2 linked regions of the Alligator mississippiensis genome follow. The protein of the gene in region 1 binds, or shares a complex with, the protein of each later gene. Links are inferred from orthologs where the notes say so. Each region holds a gene or a part of one and is shown in the gene's direction. Other genes may lie near its edges. The genes, in order: FGFR2 and FGF8.

What was found.
Region 2: the proteins of FGFR2 (region 1) and FGF8 are in contact, whole or in part, in a crystal structure (PDB 2FDB), measured with the Homo sapiens proteins. The link is inferred for Alligator mississippiensis from reciprocal best matches to the Homo sapiens genes FGFR2 and FGF8. Residues at the interface, in NP_000132.3 of Homo sapiens: Glu160, Lys161, Glu163, Lys164, Leu166, His167, Ala168, Val169, Pro170, Asn173, Asp247, Val249, Arg251, Ser252, Ser282, Asp283, Ala284, Gln285, Pro286, His287, Ile288, Gln289, Ile291, His293, Leu309, Val311, Leu312, Lys313, Ala314, Ala315; in NP_149354.1 of Homo sapiens: His53, Val54, Gln57, Asp62, Leu64, Ser65, Arg66, Leu68, Ile69, Arg70, Tyr72, Tyr75, Arg77, Gly80, His82, Val106, Glu107, Thr108, Thr110, Phe111, Gly112, Ser113, Val115, Thr148, Glu149, Ile150, Val151, Leu152, Glu153, Asn154.

The regions. Positions count from the first base shown.
Region 1 is NC_081829.1:85,695,310-85,699,219, forward strand, and holds the start of FGFR2 (fibroblast growth factor receptor 2), read left to right. Parts: upstream 1-1,161; 5' UTR 1,162-1,246; intron 1,247-3,910. UniProt on the Homo sapiens protein: Tyrosine-protein kinase that acts as a cell-surface receptor for fibroblast growth factors and plays an essential role in the regulation of cell proliferation, differentiation, migration and apoptosis, and in the regulation of embryonic development.
Region 2 is NC_081829.1:100,259,218-100,263,127, reverse strand, and holds the start of FGF8 (fibroblast growth factor 8), read left to right. Parts: upstream 1-995; 5' UTR 996-1,505; coding exon 1,506-1,703; intron 1,704-2,060; coding exon 2,061-2,241; intron 2,242-3,910. UniProt on the Homo sapiens protein: Plays an important role in the regulation of embryonic development, cell proliferation, cell differentiation and cell migration. Required for normal brain, eye, ear and limb development during embryogenesis.

The DNA.
Region 1 (3,910 bases):
CATGCTGGGCTGGCAAGATAGAGGGAAACACACTGGAGACAGAAATGTATGTTCAAGCTGGGGCTGCAGTATGCAGCATGGTTCTGGTTCTGAGTAGTGCTTGTAGTGGCTCCTGTAATATAGATAAATGCCTGTGGGGGGTGCAAAGTATGCCAAGGACCTCTCCTACCCACTGGAACGTGCCTGGAACAACCCTTTTCCACCGGCCGTGAATTCTTAGAAGTGCAACAAAGCATCTCACCCAGCATCTCTACTAATTCTCAGAGCTGCTGGATCTCTCAGTTCTGTCTCTTTTTCCCTCTATAAATGTGTCTCAGTCTTTCATTCGTCACAGTGCTGGGCCAAGACGCACATCTTTTTTAAATAACATGGACCAGAAAATGTGGAAATTTTGAAGTCGTAGCTCCCTTGGAGAGAGCCAAAACATGTTTACTTTTTTATATTGTTTGATAATAAAGAGCAGAGCATGAAAACAAAATGCAGCTTTGTCAAGAATGTTGATTATATAAAAATCAATATGTAACTGGGGCGCTTACAACCGAACATATCCATTGTCCTTCTTGGTTTAAAACAAAAGGATTGCAGCAGCAAGACCTTGCTTAACTTGGGGTCAACTTCTAGTTGCAGCATGCAATAATAACAATCCAAGGTATGTACAATTTACAATACGGTATATGTACACTGGTATATACTCCAAGTAAAGATTCTGCTTTCATCAGTAAACCTTATCCTGGTTTCAAGGAGAGGTTAATTCTGGGGATGCAGATCATATCTGTCCTTGAGCCCATTAGTATGGCTATGCAGATGGCCATACCTTAACCCCCACTGTAGCCAAGATCTAACCCTCAAAAATCAACTACCTCTTTCCTTGCAGAAATCCAGAGGCCTCTCCCTACCCTTCACCCGAGAATCTGGGGGCTTTTCATATGTTAATCAGTAAACATTGTTGTAAATTCGATTGCTGCAATATATACAGGGAGATGGCTTGAAAGTATTGTTTTGCAGAGCATTACTCTGTGGTGTACAGTTCATCTTAAGGCACTCAGTGAGTTAACTTTGCATTGTGATATCATTTCTGAGTTACAAGTCAGCCTCTTTGTATGAATGCCACCCACACAATAGGAGAGAACTGTCAAGCTGCAACATGCAAGAGACACCTAGACACACCTATTGAAGCCATGCTTTGCCTGCCTTGGTGTGTTGCATTCCTTTAGCCTTCGCATATCGAATGGAAAAAAGCAATCAGGTACCGTACACTTTATTTGGAAATTTTCTCTGCCAAACGCAATAGACGTCCTCTGTACTGCAATGTATAGACAATCATAGGAACAGCATCTTTGTAGCACATTTTCCTGCCGATTCATAACTGCATACCGTACATCAGTTTGTATGTTATGCTCATGGTGAAAACAGCTGCTTGCATGTATATCTCGTGCCACAGTGTTTTGCCTTAGCATTTTGATTTAATCATACTTTATGCTATGTGTTTTATTTTATTAGCTGAGCAGTGGGAAATGCAAGGAAAATGTGGGTTTGATATTGTTTTTCTGTGCAAGTTCCAGATGGACAAATCCTTTAGTAACAGCACTGGGTTGAGCACTGTACTGGAAGCCGGGAACTACTTTGGTTTATTTCTGAAGCCGTCTTACATTTGCTGGGTGGCCTTGGACAAGCCATAACCCTGTGTTTGTTTCCTTAACTTCAGGATGAGAATAATACTTTTCTTCCTTATAAGGGTACTGGACAATTTAGTTTAAAAAAAAGTGTTGCTGAGGTATTTCACTCATACATGTATAGATGGAGTTAGAGGCATAATTATATTATTTGCTCCTGGGTGTTAAAGTCATACAAACAGGAGGGGAGATGGTATTTCAAAAAGCAGCAACTCCGACTGGAACATAGAGTCATGGTAGACAACCAGCTGCAGTTACAATCTGGTGCCTGAGAGAGCTAAAACACTTTTTGGAGATAAAACATGGGGAGGCAGAAGTAGGAAAGTGATAGTACTGCTGTACATGACATCAGTGAGACAGCTGCCAGAAACCTGTCCAAGTGTGGTTTCATTTTAAAAAGAGTATTGGCAAATTGGAAAGGTTTCAGTAAAGAGTTACCACAGTGATCTGGGTCCTGGGAAACCTGCCTTACAGTGACAACTAAAGAAGCTCAATTTGTTGAGTTTGTCTAAAAGCTGCCTATGTAAGGAAACTTGGGTACAGTAAGCTATGGTATGAATCTACAGTGCACAGGATACATTGAACTAACTCTTTGAGGACACCCTTAGTGGACATCAGACTATGTCACATGTTTCTGTGCAGACCAGCCCTTTGACAAAGTACTTTGATTGTGGTCTAAAAGGTACCTACACAGGAAAGAGACTTGTGATAGTAAATGGCTCAGTAGCATTGAAAAGACATAAGAAAACTAAAGTTGGTCAAACTTAGAATAGGAATTTGGAATAAAATTGGAGTAGGAATGAGGAATAAGGTTCATATTCCTGTTAGGATAATTGACTACTGGAACAGTTTATATAGGGAGGGGAAGGATTCTCTGTTGCTTAAAGTGTTAAATCTAGATTTAACATTTTTCTGAAAGAGACAGCTTGACCAGAAGTTAGTTGAGGTGGCAGCTACTGGAAGAAGTTTTTTGGGTTGTGTTATGCAGGAGGTCAAATTAGATGACTGAATTGAAACTTCTGGCCTGAAAAATCCATTAAAATACTAGGTTTAAGATGTTATAGTGAAGTATCACTTTCCATGATGGCTTGAATCTTTCACTTATGGTTTAGTTAAACCTCTTACATGAAGAAATGGGCAAATAAATACGGTATACTTGTGGTGAAAATAGATTTCCCAATTTGTAGTGTTTGTGATCACCCCTTCCCCCTTCCCATTTTCCCTAATTGCCTCTCTGTGAACTTAAATGTTCCTCACTTAGAAGGAATACACCACAAACTCCTCTAAAGCTTTCTGTCACCCTTTTCTTCCATCTTTCTCATATAGGAGGTTGGATCCCAGGTTGGATCTTAGTAAGGTATCATGGTGGACAGTAGGTCACTAGGATATGTCCTGGATAAAGTAGCATAGTCCAATATACTTCAGAACTCCATTCTGTTCATCCTCCTGCAGAAAATGTTTGTAGTCATGGAAGGCATCTTAACTGTGAACATATTTTCCTATTGCAAAATTTGTCCATGTGTTTAAGATTCAGAGGAATGCAAAACGATTTAATGCTAGTTTCTGCAAGTTATTTAGGGCATGAGGTTTTTTTGACTTCCTTGACTTTCTGTGTCATGTAGTATATACATACACTTTCTGAAAGTCACTATAGCTGCTGTAATGTAGACTTTGGCTGCAGTATTTTTACACTCCACCAAGTGCTAAACACCAGAATAGTCCTTGGAGCCATGAGCAACTTGATGGTTGGAAAGAACAGAGTTGAAAAACACAGTATGTTACTGAATGTCTGGAAACCTGTTTTGTGCCCAGGTGGCTTACAGCATTGTTAGGTTACAATTATGTGGGGAGGGAAATTTTTGACAGAAAAGGCCTGATTGTTATATGTATTTTTTTCTTCCTATAAACAGTGGCAATGCAAAGGGGTGCATGTGTGTGCATGTGCACCCCCTGAGATCAGCCGTGCACTCCCTGGAAGCACCAGCCACAAAACCGGAAGTGCCAGCAGAAGTTCACTTCCAGTTTTGCTGCTGGCTTGGCAATTGGCTGCTGGGGGGCCACCCCTGCTCCTGGTTCAGAGTCGGCTGCTGGGGGTCGGCAATTGGCCATGGGAGACACCCCCCTCATCGGTGATCTGGTGCCCCCCAGACTCAGGAGGCACCAGTCGCCCATGCCCATAGAAGTATAATTCTTTAGACTCTAAAGTGAAAATCATGATTCTTCCTCTGTGTGTATCT
Region 2 (3,910 bases), about 15 Mb from region 1:
GCACACTGGAGAGGGGCTGAGTTCAGACGCTGCCAGAGTGTGTGGACACACACACACACACACACACACACACACATGCCTCCTGTGCGTGCATGCGCAGGTGCCCATGTACACCCCCCTCCGTGCACATACATCCCCATACTCCCCCCCTTGCCCATGTATGCACACATGGGCACACACACACACCCTACACATGTACACATGCATGCACACGCGCCCGCACCCCCTGCACCCCCCCACGACACCCCCCCCATGCAGATACAGACACATCCACATCCGCGCATCCCCTGTCACACGTGCGCACACGTGTGTACAAACGCGCGCACATCCCGCACACAGCCCCCGTGCCCATGCATGCGGACACACGCGCACACACCTCTCCCTTGCATACACACACACACACACACACGCACGTGCGCGCAGCTACGCGGTACACGCACGCACACCCAGACACACTCGTGTGCACGCCCCCCCGCCCCCCCGCCACTGCCCCCGGGCCGGGCCGGGCCGGGCCGGGCCGGGCCGGTCCCGCCGCCCCTCCCTCCTCCTCCTCCGCCCTCGCTCCGGCCGTCCCTCCCCGCCCAGGTGCGGTGTGGGCCCCGCAGTGCCGGCCCCGGCCCCGGCCCCGCGCCCCGAGCTCCGCGCTGACAGCGCCCGCGCCGCGCCCGCCCGCCCGCCCGCTCGCCCGGCTCCCGCAGCCCGGGGCTGCCCCGCCGCGGAGCGCGCCGCCCGCCCGCCCGCCCCCGCGCGGGGCCGGGGCCGGGGCCGGGGCCGGGGCCGGGGCAGCAGCGCCCGCAGCCGCCAACGCCGCACCATGCCGCCGCCCGCCCCGCTGCTCCGCTCGCTGTAAGCCGCCGCCGGGTCGGGTCCGGGTCCGGGTCGGGTCGGGTCGGGGCTCGGCTCGGCTCGGCTCCGCGCTCACCCCGCCTCCTCTCTGCTTTCTCCCGCCAGGTTCCTGCACCTGTTCGTCCTCTGCCTCCAGGCTCAGGTGAGCGCCGGCCCGGCCGGGTGCCCCGGGAGGGGCGGGAGGAACGAGACTGGAAGTCCCGGGGCAGGAAGGGACGCGCGGGGCAATCTCGGAGGGCGCAGCCCCCAAAACAAAGGGAGGAATCGGGGCAGGCGGGGCTGGCACCGAACCCGCCTGGCTGTGGGGCCAGGAGCCGGGCTTTGCAAGGGGGTGCGAGAGATTACAGGTGCCGGGGCGGTGGGAGAGAGCGAGGGGAAGGGAGCCAGGAGGGGCCAAGCCCTCCTCGGATGCCCCCAAACCCCCTCGACGAAGCGGGCGCATCCAGACAGAGAGACCCAGCTGCCGGGGGCAGAGCGCTGGCGGCCTCCGCTTCGGGCAGCGATTGCTTTTAAATCGTTCCCCTTTTATTTTTCCGTGCGGGAGGCGGCGAGGCAGCCTTCGCGTCTCGCACGGGGAGGGGGAGACCAGGGGGCCGCGCTGTGCCCCCTTCGGAGGCCAAAAGGATCCGTCTCCTCCGCGTTTGCTGGGATGTGTAGAGATGTCGGGGGCCAGCTGGGCTTGGGAGCCGGGGGCAAGAAGGAAAAGTCCAGGCTGGTTGTGTCAGGAGCGGGGTCCGATGCCCCCGACCGGCCTCGGGATAAAAGGAGCTGATGAGAAATGCAAGCAGGGCCGGGGCCGGGCCAGGCCTCTTGCTTCTCCACGCAGGGAGCTCGGGGGCTGCCGTCAGCAGTCGCAAGTAGGTGGCTTGCAAGGGCCGGAGAAGGCAGGGCAGCGGGCTGGGAAGAGACGGCCCTCGTTAAAAAGGACGTTAGCAGCCCTACGCGGCTCTGCGTGCATAAATAATAGCATGGGTAGATGGGCGGGGGGGCAAATCCCAGCTCCTGTCTTGGCGGCATCGACCCAGGGCAGCCTGTTGCGTCCAGTGCCCTGGACGGGGCATCTCCCCACCGGGCCGGGTGCAGGCAGCCCCCGAGAGCGCAGCTCGCGGCCCTCTAAGATGCCCCCGGAGGCCGGGGACCCGTGCGCAGCCCGTCAGCCCCTCCGAGGAGCAGAGATCGTAATGGTGTGTTGTATATTTTTTAATTTCCTAAAGGTAACTGTTCAGTCCCCACCTAATTTTACACAGCATGTGAGGGAGCAAAGCCTGGTGACGGACCAGCTCAGCCGGCGGCTCGTCCGCACCTACCAGCTGTACAGCCGGACCAGCGGGAAGCACGTCCAGATCCTAGACAACAAGAAAATCAACGCCATGGCGGAGGACGGGGACGCCCACGGTAAGGGCACGGGCCGGTCCCGGCCTCCTCGGGAGCCGGGAGGGGTGAAGGGCGCCCGCCTCGCGGGGCTGGGAGACCGTGCGCGGGGTCGTTGGCAGGGCCGAGAGGCAGGTTGTTTCCAGGGTTGCACATATAGCTAAAAAAGAAATCCCCCTCCCAAATAAATGTGGAGTCCCCTGTCCCTGAGCGGACCCTTTCCGAGGGCACGGCTCTCTGCCAGAAATCCCGAGCGGTCCTCGAGCTGGGGCCGGGGAGGCCGACTCTCAAGGGACAAGTGCCGTCCGGTGCCGGGAAGGATCCGGGCGCAGGGTCCGGCCCCGAGAGGCGGCTCCCTCGTGGGGTGCGCGGGAGAGCCGCTCCGTGCCTGGGTGGCGCGTGTGCGAGTTGCACGTTGAAGCGGTCAGACCCCGACATCAGCACGGCAGGAGAGCCCGCAGAGGTGGCAGGCCCCTCGCCCGCACGGTGCAGCACCGCGGGACCGCACCGCACGCAGGAATTGCGCCTGCTTCTCCTTGGAGCAGCGGTTTCCCTTTCTTACTCGGGGAGAGGCGTGGAAACACCGGGCTTTTCTTTCCCCTCCGGTGCTTTGGCTTGGAAACGTTAGTGTGCACTTAAACGCTCGCGCCCCGCGTCGCCTCGGCCGCCAGCCGCCTTATCCCAAACCACCTCCGGATCAAAAGGGCGCGAGGCGATTCCCCCCGGCCCCGGCGCGCTCTCCGCGTCTCCGGCGCGTGTGTTTTTTAAAAGGCGGCTACTGCACATTGGAAATCACGACCAAGTTTAACCGAGGCCAGGAGGAGGCAGGGGGAGCTCCCGGCGGCTTGCAAACCTCTATTAAAACGTAATAAAAAGGGGAAGCGTTTGAGGAGCGAGAGAGAAAAATGACGGATGAGCTAAACCAGGAGGAAAAAAAAAAGCAAGAAAGAACAAGCCGTTTTTCAGATGTAAAGTTTTAAAAGGGCTGCGAGTCTGTAAATGTGAAAGTAGAGGTTCAGGATTGTTCTATATGAATCTCCAGAGAGACCCCCATGTCTGGAAGAGCGATTAAAACTCTTCTTACTTTCACCTTTTTTAACATTTCCTGAATACTTTCTGCTCTTCGCAGTCCAGTTAGGGGATCAAGTGTGTCTCGCTGCATTTTTTCAGCATTTACGTAGCCACTTTCCCTTCAACGTTTTAGCAAGAAACATAATTTTACTGGGATAAATCTGTCACGTCGGGAGGCGAAAACCTGAAGCTTTTTCCGAAAAAAAAAAGAAAGAAAGAAAGAAAAAGAAACAAACAAAAAAAGGCCCCGCTCGACCCGGCGACTCGCTGCTGCGCAGCCCCGCGCACGAGGCGTCCGGCTCGCGGGTTTGGGGACGGGAAGAAAAGGGCTGATTTATCTTCTCAAACGACCGCTCGGCCCGCTCGGACGTTTTTACTGCCGCCTTCCCGGCGGGCCGGGCGCTCGCGGGGATCTGCCGTGCTGTCGGTGGGACGCGCCCGTCCGGCCTCCGTGCCCTTCCCGGCCTCTGCCCCGGCTCGGAGCCGCGGCCCCCCAGATCCCTGCCCGGGGTGGAGCCGGGCAGGCTTGAGCCCACCCTGTGCCCGTGTCCGGGCCGGGGGCTTGCAGGGCTCCGGGTCCTGCGCAGGGAGGCCAGAGCAGCCCCCGGGCTATAAATCAGGG